2 linked regions of the Alligator mississippiensis genome follow. The main gene of each other region encodes a partner of the protein of the gene in region 2 in a complex. Links are inferred from orthologs where the notes say so. Each region holds a gene or a part of one and is shown on either strand. Other genes may lie near its edges.

Evidence for each region. Proteins that work in one complex are often made in the same cells at the same time.
Region 1: the proteins of XIRP2 (region 2) and NEBL are in contact, whole or in part, in a crystal structure (PDB 4F14), measured with the Homo sapiens proteins. The link is inferred for Alligator mississippiensis from reciprocal best matches to the Homo sapiens genes XIRP2 and NEBL. Residues at the interface, in NP_689594.4 of Homo sapiens: Pro2420, Pro2421, Pro2422, Thr2423, Leu2424, Pro2425, Lys2426, Pro2427; in NP_006384.1 of Homo sapiens: Tyr963, Asp964, Tyr965, Asp969, Asp971, Glu972, Ile987, Asp988, Asp989, Gly990, Trp991, Met1004, Pro1006, Asn1008, Tyr1009.

What each region holds. Positions count from the first base shown.
Region 1 is NC_081828.1:184,828,730-184,836,540, forward strand, and holds the start of NEBL (nebulette), read right to left. Parts: upstream 3,067-7,811; 5' UTR 2,022-3,066; intron 1,938-2,021; 5' UTR 1,853-1,937; intron 1-1,852. UniProt on the Homo sapiens protein: Binds to actin and plays an important role in the assembly of the Z-disk. May functionally link sarcomeric actin to the desmin intermediate filaments in the heart muscle sarcomeres.
Region 2 is NC_081827.1:215,887,438-215,895,232, reverse strand, and holds the start of XIRP2 (xin actin-binding repeat-containing protein 2), read left to right. Parts: upstream 1-4,692; 5' UTR 4,693-5,294; intron 5,295-7,795.

The DNA of each region.
Region 1 (7,811 bases), on a different chromosome or scaffold from region 2:
GGAAAGCTATGGATATAAACTTATTTCTGTTTATCCGTATGTGCATGTTTATGTTTCTATTTATGTTAAGTAAATTCCCTATCTTGAAATTGACAGAATACTTACACTGGGCAGACATTAGATAGAACTAAATAGATGTAATGCAGGCACATACTATGAAAGTTTCTATATGCTATCCTGTTTATCCAGCCATGCCAGCAATACTTCTTTACTTAGGCTAGCGGTTCTCAAATTTTTTAAGACATCAGGCACTCCTTGTTAGGCTAAAGGCATCCCTCCAAAAAATGCCAGCTCTTCCACTTGACTCATTTTTTTTTACTATGGAAATATAATAGAGTAATTCTTCTGTTGCAAAGAACTCAGATTGTGTCAGAATGTTTTTGACACTATGGACTCCTATTTGGAATGTCTGGGTTTATCTTATGAATCATGCATAGGAATTTGCACACCTAACAGTTGCTAATATTGCATAACCTCTTCTAGATTCTGGGGTTTTCCTTCATAAATACAGTCCCTTCCATCAAACTGTACCTGTTTGACTTTTGTTTTCTGTTTGACAAGCATTTATCAGAAGCAAACCTGAGAAAAAACTTACCATATTTACCTGAATCCAAGACAAAGTTTTTTACCCCCATTCAACACAGAGAAAGAAACTCCTCATCTTAGATTCAAGTACAGGGGGGGTGGGGGGGGAGGGGGGCAGAATATGCAGCTCTGACTGCTGCTCCCCACAATCACCTGCCCCCTGCAGCCTCTGCTCTTCTCCCCACTGCCCCCTCCTTCCTGCAGCTCAAGCATCCATCTGGGGCCCTGCTCTAGCTCAGGTCAGGGAACAAGGAGCATATCTGCTGCCTCCAGCCCAGCCACAAAGCAGCAGCAGCAGCTCTGTCCCAAACTCCAGAGCCAGAGCTAAAGATGCTAAAACTGCAACAGCTGCTGCATGGCTGGACTGGGGCCAGAGCTACCACAAGCTCTGTGTTCTCCATCCTGGGACAGAGTAGGGACCATCCAGAGCTGGAACTGGAAGGAGAAGTTAAGTAGCTGCAAGGTGGGGAGGGTAAGAGCAGAGTCTGCAGGGAGAAAACACTGGACACTAAGAACTAAGGACACTAAGAACCAAGGACTTTATATGCTTCTATGGCATATTATAATCTACCTGACTCCTGAATTCTTTCCACACATGAAAGGTGAGAATGGCCTTCCTCCCTTTGATAGACCTTGATTTCCCAGTCATCAGTTTTGTTTCTTCTACTAATTGTATGTCTGGTACCCCTGGCAGTTTCTCTCACCCCTTTCTACAACTGTTTTTTTTACTATGCGGTGCTTGGCTTGTTCTAGTCAGGCCTGATGAAGAATTTCTTGCATTTAAAAGCTTGTCTACCTGTATCCTAACCATACATTTGGTCCATTAAAAGATAGATATCACCCTAAGAAATCCTTGTCTCATAATTTTACCAGCTCACCAGCGTGGCTACATCACTCTTAAACTACCATTCAGTTTCTAAGAAACTTCACCCTAATTTTTGCTCTGTCATGGACCTGTACTTATTCTATTTGTATTAGTCTGGTCTAAGCACTTCAGTGCCTGGTTTACTGCTATGGAAATAGTGCTCAAGACTCAGATTTAACATCCCCTTTTCTTCCTTTGTCCACATCATATTAGCTTTTCCTTTTACGTTATACTTTCATTACAACCAAGTAGTATCTTTATCTAGTGTCTGTAGCATGTAGGAGTCAGATCATTATGAGAATGTTCATGAGTGCTGCAGGACTTACTATCAAGACAAAAGAAAATGTTTTTTAAAGATCTCCTTCTAGTGAAGACAGCTATGCACAGAGCATGCTCACTTACCCACTCACTGAAGTTGTTGCACTTTTGTTTCAAAGAGAATCTTTGGGAAGTGTCTGGTACTTGGCAGGGAAAAGTCAAAGAACAACTAAAAATCAAAACATAATATTTAGTAATTTTTTATTTCACTATATTAAAAACCACACAATTTTAGTAAGCAGAAAGAACTTACCTTTCAACCATCTTAATTTTAATTAGATCCTTAATCTAAACTGTTAAACACAAAGTACTCTGTGGAGAAAAAAAATCTGTAAAATAGTTATTCCCTAATTAGTTAAAACTGAATGCAATGCACAATTATCCTTCTACAAAGTACTGCAGTATATCTAAAGAAGTTTAGAATAAGTATAATTGATGCAACTTAACCTTTACCATACATACATTTAATTGCATTGTACCCTTTAAAATGAACAGCTACTAAAAAAGTTCTTTGATTTCAAGTCTACCTGTCATCTATATGTATAGAAAAAAAATGTCACAACACTTTTTAGCAATGAAGAAATGAGAGGTCAAAATCCAGGCATTAACTGTATTCCCCTCCAAAGACAAAGGAAGCTAGAAAATAAAATAATCGCAACCTAAACCAACCCAAACTTTTCTATAATGAAAAGAAATGCTAATGTACTGCATTCAACAGTCAGTCAATATGGTAAGTTAAGCACCAAGGTCCTGGAGGACAACAGATAAACCGTTCTCCCCACACAAAAAATAGAGCAGGACAGGTTCTTGAAATTTTAAAAACATGCATGTTCCACATCAGAACAAACCTTTCACATTGTTTCAGAGAGAGAGACAAACCCCAAATTAAACCAGTCAATGTCCTGGTGATGGCAGATACCTGGAATGTGGTAGACCTACCTTTTTAACTTCCCAAGTGAGTGCCCTATCCTTTAACAGCCAGGTATATAAGTGGGTCAGTTGATCTTTCTTCTGTCCACTTCATACAAATCAATAAAAATTATTGGAGTAGGGTTTAATACTTTCTACATGAGTGCTACACCCACTGTGCTACAGAAGCAGTCAGTTTCTGTCACTCTTCCCCTCTTTCTGGTCTATTTTTTTTTTCTTTAAGTGAAACAGCTCTATCAGGAGACACTGATAGAGACCCTAGACCAGGCTTGTCCATCATATAGCCCACGGGCCACCATGCAGCCCTCCAAGCTGTTTTCTAAGGCCCAAGGTGCTGCAATGGGAAATGAAAGTAAACACTGTACTTCCGTTTTTGGGGGGGGGGGGGGGATGCGACATCGAATCCTGTGAGGTCTTTGAACATGGCTCGCCGGCCCACTGGGTGATAAAAAGTTCATGATCCAGCCCCACATTCAAAAATTTTGAAAACCCTACCCTAGACCAAGCAAGCCAATATAGCCAGGTGGTTAGAACACCCACAGAGGATGTGGGAGACCCAGGTTCAAGTCCCTAGTCTGAATTGAAAACAGAGTAGTTTAGACTAGGGACTTAAACTTATGACTCCTACCGCCAAGATTAAAGTCTGACCCACTAAGTTAACTCTTCTGGGATGGTCTCTCTCTCTCTGTTCATAAATTGCATCCTAGGCAACAAAATCCTATCCTAATGGAAGTTGCAACAAAACTAGTATGCTTCCATGTTAGAAAATTAGCTGTTTCTAATGAAAAATCATTTTGCCTAAAATTTCCCAGCCAATGCTACTCAAAAATATTTTTTCTTACAAGTAAACCAACTTTTATGAAAACATATTTCATCAACTATGTCCTCCTGGTGCTGTGCAACCATCTTGTTTTATGAGTAAAATAAATTAAAAAATACATTGTTTTTAAAGTTGCATACAGAGAAAAGCTCTGGCAGGCAGAATTACCTAAAGGAACACATATTCTAAAAAAATATCTGGTGGCTTTTATAATTATATACTGTAACAATTCTCCAGCTTGTAAAGCCAGCTAAGTCTCCTATATAGAAACATAAATAAACAAACTGGAAATGCCCAAAAGACTTGGGAGGTTAGGGACCATTTTTGGTGTTGAAGGTACTATTTTGCATTAATGATGGTAAGAGAAGATACATGAAAATATTTTGCATCACTAGTATTTCTTGTTCTTAATTCATCTTGCAAGGCATTTTCCTGGATACTTTTTTCAAAATTAAATATTAGAATCTTCTTGTATTCTAGAACTTCATTTTATAACCTATGCATATTTTGAGAATTCTTGTTAAAAACTGTCAAACAATAGATACAAAAACATTAACACATATTTTTGCAAACAGGAATATTAAATTAAAAAGTACAATGCATATAAACCTTTGTACCATAAGCATGTATTATGAAAACCTTTGATGAAAACTGGAGAGGTGAACACACATTGCCTACGTGCTGTGTAAGTGTATGGTATAGACTGTACACCTTTAAGAATATAACACACGCAAGTCAGTCAGCAAATTGAATTTCTTCACCCTCACAAACATCATCCAAAACACCACCAACCTACAGTCATGCCTTTTCTTACACATACTATTTCTCTGACCTGCCATTACTGTAGGATATAGTCACATACATTACTGATTTGTTCCTGAGTCCTTTTCAGTCTTTGTAATTCAGGTGTATCAGTCACAATGCTGAATCCTCTTCCTTTGCTTTCTTCAAAGTCTCTTTTGTATTTGACCTAAAAAACAGAAAACAGATTCATAGGTTGCATTTGCTCTTTTTTTTTGTTTTTCCAATTTAATTCTAGGAATGATTGTTTTTAAGTGAATAAAACACTCAGGGGCCTGGAATTCCACTCAGGTGTGGAATTAGGAACAGAGGCAGCACTGCAAGCTTCCATTTAGAATATATGTTACATGTACATTTTAGTCCTTTGCCTCCATCCAACTTATTAATGGTCCTGTTTTGAATTCCAGGATCTAACTTTGTTAGGAGTGGCTTTGTGGCAAAACTATGAAGATCTTCATAGAAATATAGAAAAGAGATTTGCAGATGGTTATAAATCTACTCAGGCATACTGTATTCTGTAACATGAGGATACTTGCCCAGTTTACTGGATGATGCTGAGCAAGGGCAGAATCTCCCAGTGTTGCGACAGTTGGTAGCACTAGAACCATCTTTATGTATTTACCATATGCCAAGTCTAAGGGTTTCTGTAGTGCTCAGATTGTTTGGCTCTGAAGGTTAAAAGCATTTTTTGATTGAGAATTGTTTTCTCTTCTAGAAAATCTAAATATGTGAGAGTGACTTTCCTATGTTTTTATATGAGAACTTCAGGATGTTGAAATATTTTTTTATTCCACTTAAGGGGGGGGAAAAAAAACCCAAAACCTTTTTATATGGCTTTTCACAATTTACAAAGTTTTAGAAATAATCCCAAAATTAAGATGTTTAAATGATACATATTGGAACTTGTGTATTTATTTTACTTGTGAATATGAAAGTGCTGTGAACAGAGATGTGGGTTTTCCGCAAAATTTTGAATTGGGAAATGTTTCCAGAAAATTTTCAATGCCCTAAATAGAGCGAGATCTGATTTAGCATGTTTAGTTGACTTATATTTAGTAAACAAAACTAAAAAAGTACCCCCATGTTAATTTTATGTCCCAATAGTCACAAGTATTTGAACTGAAATATTTGATTAGAAAAAAAAAAATAAATAGTCAACTTAATGTGCTTTTAATGTTTATATTCAAACAAATTCAAAGCTTTATGTGGAAAGAAATTATTGGAATACTTGTAAAAATGTAAAGAATACACTGACGAAGGGTTTTTGAACCCGAAAGCTTGCTTAATAATTATTTTCCAACTATTTGGGTTGGTCTAATAAAAGATATCAAATTCACCCAAGGAACCTTGTCTGACTATGTCCTTAGACCAACACGGCTACAACCTAAACCCCTGAAAGAATACACTATAGCATGAACTTCCCTTACATTGTTTGTTTAAATTTAAGAAAAAAAAGAGAAGGCACTGAAAACTGTTGACACACTAAATTTAGCACACCCAAAGAACTGTGCATGATATGCCATGGTTGTCCACTCATCTACAGAGTTTAACTCTTGTCCACTGAGGTCACTGCAGCATCTCCAGATTCATTGTCACTATCTGTAGAATCACTTGCACTACTTATTAGTTCCAGTTCAGAATTAGATTGATGCAAATATGATTCAGAACTACTTGAACCACATTCTCTTTTGCTAGAGGATGGTTTTACCAATGAGTCTATGGGCAAGGGCAACTTATCATCACACTGCATCCTCTTCACTAATTGTGCTTGACTGATTCTTCAGAAGCAAGAGATTTTGAGAAATAGAAACAAGCTTAGTGGTGCGTTTATTTATTAGTTTTTCCTCTTTTTTTGTCTTGATTGAGCTGAAAGCCTTCTAGTTCCATTCACAAGAAGCTGCTTTTGGTGGAATGCTTAAGATCCTTGGAGCAATCGTGGACAACAGTCCAGTACTATAGTATCTCTTCCACCTTGTGAAAGGAGGCATTCTCTGTTTCCTGCCAAATTATGTCTTTGCTCCAAAGTTTTTCTTTTGCACGGTACTCGGCAATGTCTGTCATCATGGCTATTTCGTCGATATTGGGGACATTCTCAGCTACTTCTATAATTGTATCAAGAGCAGTAGATAGTTCATCTTCCGATAAATGTTGTCCTCTGTGTTGAGGATCCAAAAAGTTTGCTGCCAGAGGAACTAGATGAAAGCAAAACTCAGATCTCTTAATAAACATTTATTTTACTATTTCTTTTTTGGATAGAGATGAAGAAGGCCAAAGCTTAATTAGATTTTCATTCAGTTATCTGAATATCTCTGGAATATTTGAAAGGCTTGGTGCATTTCCTTCAAGTTTCTTGATAGCCACTGAAACTGGTAGCAGCAAATTGAATACTCCTTGAACTCAAACCCAGAACACATCATTGTCGAGAACCTGCTTCCGAATGTTCATGGGAATACTCTGGGATACTGTGTTATCTATTGAAGCACACTGCAGACAGTTCTTTGTGCGCAGCAGACTATGTAAACACTTTGTATCCAAGCTCCATCTAGTTCCTCCTGGCAATAAAAGTGCACTTTCCTTTCCATGTTTCTTTTTCTGTAATTTCTTCAAAGTCTGATTAGCAGCATGATGATTGTTCAATACCTTCACAATTGCTTTGCCATTTGCCAATATTGTCTTCATTGTATTCACACTTACTATGTCCTTTGCCAAAAAATTCAACCCATGAGCAAGACACCCAAATACTATTAAACGAGGATACTTTGCCTTTAATATTTGCCATGCAGCTTTCATGCTACTCATATTATCAGTTACAAGGGCTTATTATCTATTATGTAATTTAAAAAAATATATTGTTAAGCCTAAGCTACTTTAGGTGCTTAGTGCAAGCAGAAAATCAGGATACAAATATTTTAAATAAATAATAGTCCAGAGGTGCATTAACAACTTTTTAAATTATAATGTTTTAAAACAATATAGATGCTAGTCTATACTGTGTGTTGTTTAGCATATTAATGTGTTTACTTGCATGGGATTCCTGAAATAGACTTTTCTCAGATGATGCTGTTCCACCACTTTGTTGTATTAGCTTTATGTATATGGCTTGTATTCTTTCAGGACAGTTTCTACATGCTATTATATGTTTCTTCATTCTTGTTGATTTGTTGGCATACTTCTGCCCACAATATTTTCATCTACCAACTTTCTTCCTTCCTTCAATGGCTTAAACTTCACTATAATGATGCTACACACTATATTTTTTTCTGATTAGTCATTATGATGACTACTTCAAACCGGAAGCACTAAAAACTAACAGACCTTATGCAAACACTTCCAACTTTCCCAACTCAAGAAAAGAAATGAGACACTGCTCTGTGTGTTTGCTGAACTGAAAGTGAAACACAAATTAATCACAGTTCTAGTTTTGGTTTTGCTTTCACTTGCAGTCTGAGATGAAATAAGAATTTTAGCTTTGGTTTTGATTCAACCTGCACA
Region 2 (7,795 bases):
AATCTGAGAGAACACAGCGGTTGCCTGTCACAACAACTTTCTGAGCATCATGCATTGATTATCCAGAACTCATTCATTAGCCCCTACCCTGTCTGAAATTCTCCCTATTTGTGCACTAGCTCTTTTTTCCATTCATGACAGACTGCAAGGCTGCAGGCAAAATCAGAAATAAAATATCTGAACAGCACACTTAACTCACTAACCTATTAACATATTTATTCAACACTAATACACAGGCCCCTTTCACTGACTCCCGATAAAAGAACCCACATTACTTGTATTATAGAGGGTTAGAGTAAAAAAGCTCAGTGTAGGAACAGGCTGAGGTTGTTGCATTCAAAGGCTTATGTTCTATGGGCTTTCAAAAATGCATCGCTTTTTCTTAGCCTCTTAGCTAAGACATAATAAATCTTTTCTTTCTGTAATTTTTATGATTCTGTGATCTAGCATAGCATCAGTTTAATGTCTGATATCTCCTCTCTAGGGGACTGCTGTTGCTCTTTATGGAAATGGAGGAGGACTCCATGATCTAATGGGCCTTTTCCATCTGTAATTACCATAAATCCATATACCATAGACAATGAGGTGTAAAAAAATATTTTTGTTAAATGGTGTTTAGAGCTCTAGGAAATAAATGGCAAAATAATGTTGTCCTCCTCCTCCTTGTGGCTGTTATTCACAAACATTCTGCATTACAGAGAAAGGATCTGTAAGATACTTTATGGATTGGTTAACCAACGTCCAATAGTCAGATACCAGCACTGGTCCAAAGGAAAAAAAAAACAATTAAAAGGCAATGCCATAGGCTTCAATTAAACTTCATTTTAGCTTTAAGGAGGCATGCTCTTCTAATTTACCTCAGTGTAAATACAAATCTAATCTACTGAATGCATGAGAGAGATTCCAGATTTACACAAGCATTATCAAACACAGAATTTGGCCTACGTACCTTTAAATAAACTAATTCCTATCTACCTCTTATCCCAGGGGTGTTAAACGCAACCAGCCCCAGGGGTCAGATGACTGGCATTGGGGGCTGGACTAGACTGCACTCCAAATCTGGAGTGGGTGCCATACATGCTCATGTTTCAGAGCTGTGGAGCAGCTGTCATATGCATCACAGCCCCGGACTGACTGCTGCATGAGGTGTGGCTGCTTCAAGGTTGTGCTGCACATGGTGGCTGTTCCACCCCTTTGGCACATGAGGTGAAGGGGGTGTCATCTGGCACATTTCACATGCTGCCTGTGGGTTACTCCGAGACCCAAGGGCAGCATCAGAGGCCAGATGATAAAGCTCTGCAGGCCACATCTTTCAAACCCCTGTCTTAACCTCTTCTTATTTACCTTCTCTTTGTGCACTGAATGATTTCACCAAGGAATGAGTAAGGGCAGAAACTTACAGATAGTTCTTCATGTGTTTAAGTATTTTTGCCCTCCTAGCTTCCTCACCCCCATTTCCCTTTTCTTTATGTACTGCACTGACATATTAACAGTGTGGATATAAGGGTCTATACCATGATACTGATATTATAATACTATAATCATGAAAATGCATGGGGGGAGGGGGGGAAGCTGAGTACCACTGCAATAGTCCAGTTTTATGCTAGTGCAACTTCCTTGCTCTCAGTGGAATCAGATCTGTATAAAACTGCAGTGACACAGTGGTGAATTAGGCCACAATTTATTTTATGAAGGGGAGGAAAAAAACCCTGCTCATACCCTTACTGAGAATACTTTCTTTTTCACTCAGAACACTGTAGGTTGTTCAAGATTAACAGTTAGCTACATGTTTAAAAAGAGGCAGGAACCTGCATGGAAGAGGTGTGGGAGTAGATCCAAGACAAGGGTCAACAGGCAACAAAAAATTAAGGCTCTTATCCACAGCTTGTGAAAGTTAATTGGAGTCTTTCTGCTGACTTCCTTGGAATTTGAATTGGGCCCTAATTGACCAAGTACCTGGAGTCCTTGATTCATTCAGTGGGCATCACTGTACTAATGTTAATTTTGGCTAGAATCACACTTCAGAAACTGATAAAAACATCCTTTTCTGGATTCTAAAGTTATCACATTTTATGAGAAAGTTTTACTTCCTTGCCCAAAACTTAATGCAAAAAACCTTGTTTGTTGCTAAGTCTAAAAAGCCTGTACCGTATTACGAAGGGAAACAATGACACAATAATCCCACTGCATATAAGACATACTAAATATCAATAACTAATGTATAAAGATAACCTGCCAAACATCATTGTTATAAAACCTCTTTCAAGGCTAGATCCTCTTCCCACAGAAGGTTGTGTGCTTGCCATTGATTGCAACCAATGACTGTGGGATCAGGTCTTACGTTTGGCCTCTGTCTGCCCACACACATCACATCCTTTTCCTAGTCCATTACCAGTAACAAACCTACTACTCAAATTAGTCCCACCGCCTCTAGCAGGAGATGATGTTTCCCAAGATTAATTAATGACCTTGCCCACTTTGGATATTTTCCAATAAATAGGCCAGAACTAGAACATGCTGAACTTCAACTGCAACACTCAGTGTCTTGCAGAAGTCTAGTTCACTGTTCTATAGGGACACAAAGACATACAGAAAAAATATAAAAGCAATAATACTTCTTTCCAGCTCCCATGACAGAGATACTGCTGTTTTAGATTAACCTGCTCTAGCTTGTCAGACAAGGATATTTGGGAAAAAGTGATATCTTTTATTAGACTAACTGAATAGTTGAAAAAACTGTTCTTCACAAGCTTTTGGGCACAAGCACCATTCTTCAGGCATGGGGAGACTGCTGGTGTTTGTCTACTCTCCAGGGCTGAAGAGAAGCTTAAGTCAATATTAAGGCAAAATTCAGGCCTGTGAAAATGCAAATGCATGGCAGGGAAGAACTCAAACTCAGTTCTTGTCACTTGCTCTTAACTTCATTCCTTAAAACATAGGCCAAGTCCTTTTTTTCTTGTTAAAATGAACACATGTAACTGTCATCTTATTGATTGATAGCACAGTGATTTCAGTAAAATGCATCTACCTTGATCATTCATTTTCTTATAAGTTGCAATCTTTTACCAGTTCACAAAGATACTGTTTAGTAACTCATACCCATTTCAGATAGAATCTTTAATCAGGGTTTGTAAGTAACTGATCTCAGTTTGAAATATATTTGGTTACCCTTTACATGTTTGAAGGAGAAAGCAAAGTATAACTAACAGAACTGTAAAATATTCAAGCAACAAGGAAGGATTTAATGTAAGAGAATGAAATAGGTGAAATATAAATAATCACTATTTTCCCTTTCTTCCATTCGGTATGGCAAAAAAAACCCCAGCAACACGTACATATTTTTCAATTACCTTCCCTTAATTACCTTTAATATGCTCCTGGCCAAAGTTACCAGCAAACTAGCTGGGAAACTGAACATTCATGGTGGTCTGTGACTGGCATCTCTAACTGTGCCCACAGCAGAAACATAAAAAGTTCTCTGGAATAAAGATTTAACACACGTTATTGGTGCAGGTATGATGCTATAGTAACAGGAGGAGCAGCCTTGGATCAATTATCTCTTTAACCAGCCTGATAAGGTCACCATCAACAGCTGTGACACTTAATAAGCTGCCTTCCACAACCTTCCTCCATTCGCACAAAACTACTAGAATACAAAAGGGCATCTCACCTTTCTGAATGTGCCTACTAGCCACTGAATGCTACATAGGGACATACAGCAGACAGAATTTACTAGTGAAGAGCCTATTTAAATGTGTGCCCTAGATTGGCATCAAAGTCCCACCAGTATTTTTTACCAGGGAAAGATGCTGAGTCAGGTCCAGAGGAATTTACTGCTACTGGAGTTTTTCAGCCTAGTTTGTGCAAGAAGGACTCGAGCGTGCCTGGTTGTTGTATCTTGTGTCTTTACTGATTAAACTCTTGAGACTATCAGGTTGTTGAGCATTTTCCTCAAGTCGTGCAAAAATACTTCTGTCCTTTGTGTTCAAGACAAGCATAAATTCCAGCTACTGACTAGTTAGGACACATAGAAAGTTGGTCCTTCTGGTTCCCAATCTACATTTGTGGTGGCAGACAGTTCCTGCTGTCTGGCAGGGGAGGCACTCTGTTCATCAATGGAATTCCCTCTGCTGGACAGGGGAGTGCCAATAGCTTAGGGGTCTAGAGGGCTGCACATGCCCCAGCCCTGGTGGCCAGACAATTCTAGCTAGCTGTGTGCAGCCCATTATTTAGGCTAGTACAGCTCCAACTGTGAAAGGTCTGCTGCATTTCCAGTTTCTTGATAGCTGTGGCAGGTAGACATGTTGAGTCCAAGCCCTGACTCTAAAGTACAGGGCAGTGGAGGGGGGTCTCCATTTGCAGCAGGTTCACTGCAATGAAAACGCTGCTCTTACATCACTTCAAAGTGGGTGCATTTACAGTAAATTTTTCCAGGCCAGGCAAGGTTGGAAGTGCTCCAACCCTTGAGACTGGGATGCTATTTGTTTCAACCACAGGGGTTATTTATGCTGCTCTTCCCAGCTCTGAACAATAAGGGGGCTTCCACATAACAGCCTGTGATGCCTGTCAGGAAATGAGAGGGGACGGGCTCTTTCCTGCCCCTGTTTCCTGCAGCCCGGGCTTTTCTTTCCCTTGGGAGGCTGCTTATGTCAGGAGCGCGCTGACTCGGCCCTCGGCCCCTCTGCTGAACAAGGGGCCAAGTGTGCCCCGGCCTGAGCTGCCCTCGAGGGCCCCACCGCGCCCGGCGCCCGGGGCTTGCAGGATGCCTTCGCGGGGGCGGGCGGGGGGCTGTTCCCGCGCCGGTGCCGCATGCCCTGACCCCGCCGCGTGTCGCTTTGCAGGGCACGCTGGAGCTGGCCAAGTTCCCGATCCAGAAGGGCTCCCTCGAGCTCCTCCGGCAGCGGTGGGAGTCCAGCGATGCGCTGAAGGGCAGCCCCCGGGGGCCCTACGGCTCCGCCGGCGCCCGCCGCGGCAGGCGCTCGCAAGCCCCCGAGGGAAGGCGAGCTCGCCCGGCCCCGGCCCCGGCCCCGGCCCTGCCGCGGCCCCCGCAGGGGGAGGAGAGCAGCGGGGCGGCGGCGGGCCGCGGCCCGGACGGGCGAGCTCCCAGCCTGCCGCCGGATAAGAGCAGCCGCGGAGGCAGCGCCGCACCCAGCGCCGGGGCGGAGGTGGCCAAGGAGGACCCCCCCGGCGGGCGCCGCAGGATCGAGCGCTTCCACATCCCCCTGGATGACCTCAGGAGCCGGTTCGAGGGCGGAGCGGCCCCGGCCCCGGCCCCGGCCCCGGCCGGCAGGAAGGTAAGAGCCGGGCGAGACGCGCCGCACCGAGCCGAGCCCGCGAGCGGCCCCAGTCCCCGCGCCTCGGCACCGCGCGGGAAGGGGGCGCCCGGGAGGGGCAGGCTGCTCGGGCGTGCCAGCTCCCAGCGGGAGGCAGCGGCCCCAGAAGTGCCGCGGGGCGCGGGGGACCCTGGTGTTTCTAGCCCTCTCACTGAACAGCGCCTCTCTGAGGGGCCGGGGCGAATGGGGGCTTCAGAGCAGAGAGCTGGGTCGTCCAGGCAGGGGCCCGCCTCCGCCCTGCCCCGAGACCAGGCTGGACCTGGGCGACTTCAGGAGCACCTGCATGAGGTCTGTGAGGTGGCTGAGAGGATCGTGTTAGCTTAGCAAGGCGGGTCACCCACTCGCTAGTCCGAGCCGTCTGGGGGTCGACTTGAATCTTGAACGTGACTGAACAACTTTGGAGTCCCACTTTTTACCCACCACAGCTGACACGCCTAAAGACACCCTTTCTAACCCTCCGAGTAATTTATGGTGGGTTTTTTTGCAATGGTGGAAGATGTTACAGCAATGAAAACTCAGTTCATTTAAACTTCTGTTCTGTACCTAGCTTTCCTCCATAGACTGCAAGGGGCTTTACAAAGGAGGCAGTTTGCCGTAATTTTAGTGATGGGGAAACTGAGGCAGGGACCAGTTAAATGATTTGGCAGAGACTATCAACAAATTAGGAGTCTGGAATACAGAAATGGAAAAAAGCTTTTTCAACCAGAACACCTGAAGCCGAGGAGAAGGGAATGTGTTCTGCCCGTATTAAAGTCGATGACTTAAAATAAAGAAAAGCAAAAAGATTGGGTCTAGTTTGGAAAGTTAGCAAACCCATACCTGTTGTAGGATGGTGGTTACCATCACTACCAACATGAAGTAAAGGTCACTTTACAGAACTACTGGTATTGATTCAAGTACTCCAGCACAGGGCAAGTGTGTATCAGAGTTTCCATTCCTTACAGCTTTTGTGTGTAACGTACAGGTTCACAAATACACATTTCAAAATGTTAAGGAGAAAAACTTGAAAAATTAAGGTATCTTATCTATCTCCTTGGTACATGGTATACTACTTACAAGTAAAATTAATGTTGGACAAAGCCTGGGCAATCAGACTTTGAGCTAATGGATACAGGTGTTTGGAGCTGAAATCCACAACTGCTACCTGAGCCAATATGAAGCGTTGGTGAAGTATACACTGCAGTTCTCCTGCACAACCATTATATTAGTATGATGGTCCTGAAATCACATAGTCACTGACTCCACTTGTACTTCAGTGCCATCTTTCCTACCAGAAACTGAGAGGACTGCTTTGAAACTTTTATACATATAATTTTACATAGTGGAGGACTGGGCAGACTCTGCCCAGCCCGTTTCCCCTGTTGGATTTAGTTTTATTCAAACAGAACAATAAAAAGACTTTGCTATACTGCGTATAACACCAATTCTATTCTGAAACATAAACATAAGCATTCCCTGTTTTGTTACGAAAATACTTGTACAGTTGAAATCAGTGGAAGTCCTTTTGAACTCCCTTTTGGAAGTCCTTCCAACTTTTTGTCTGTGAAAGCATCCGAGTCCTTCAGTTATCTTGGAATGGAAAGGATCGGAAGTGCCTTGTTATCCCTGTGGATAGTCAAGGAGGGGAAAGATGGCTAAGACAGCACATTTCTCTCTCATTCTGCAGCCACTATGTGAAGTGGCTTCACTTGAAGAGAAAAGCATGGCCAAAGAGAATGGTAGTCAGACAAGGTGTTAGCATGTTCCTAGGTCCCTAGCTAAATGGGATTTACAATTATACCCTGAGCAACAAATTACTCCATGACTTTCAGAGACCATGAAGAGATTGACAGGACCATAGGTGTACCAGTGACCATAAGTCACACAACCATTATTAGGAAAGCAGATAGGCATTAGGCAGCATTAGAGGGGACACAAGTATGCTTTGAAGTCTACTTGCTCTTCCCTATTTGTTTCCTTCCATGATCACAAGCTGAAGTAAGACGTTGTGGCTTAGTTCTGCATGAACTCTGCATCCTGGTGCCATGTTTTTTCTTAATAAGTTGATACTGATTAAGAGCCAGTGGACTTGGCCCTTAGTAAGCCCGTTTCTTTTTAAGGGAATTCAGACCACTTTCAAAGCATACTGTAATATTCTTACAGACTTGCCCACCAATTGATACAATAATACAAGACAGACCCATGTACATGTAGGTCCCAAGAAGATTCTGATTAACCAGGAAAAGAAGCAGCACAGGACATTTGCAACAGTTTCTCAGAACCTTTCCAAGCGTATGCAATTTACCTGGGACCACTGTATTGTAATATTATGCTTAATGCTGAGATAGCTAGATCCATCTGTGCCTGAATATTTAGAGCCATGTATTTACAATACATTTGTTAGAAATGATTTTGTTCTGCTGGAGTCGTTTGCCATTTGAACTGTTGCTATATGGCACTATTTGCCAGCCTGTCAACTGTTA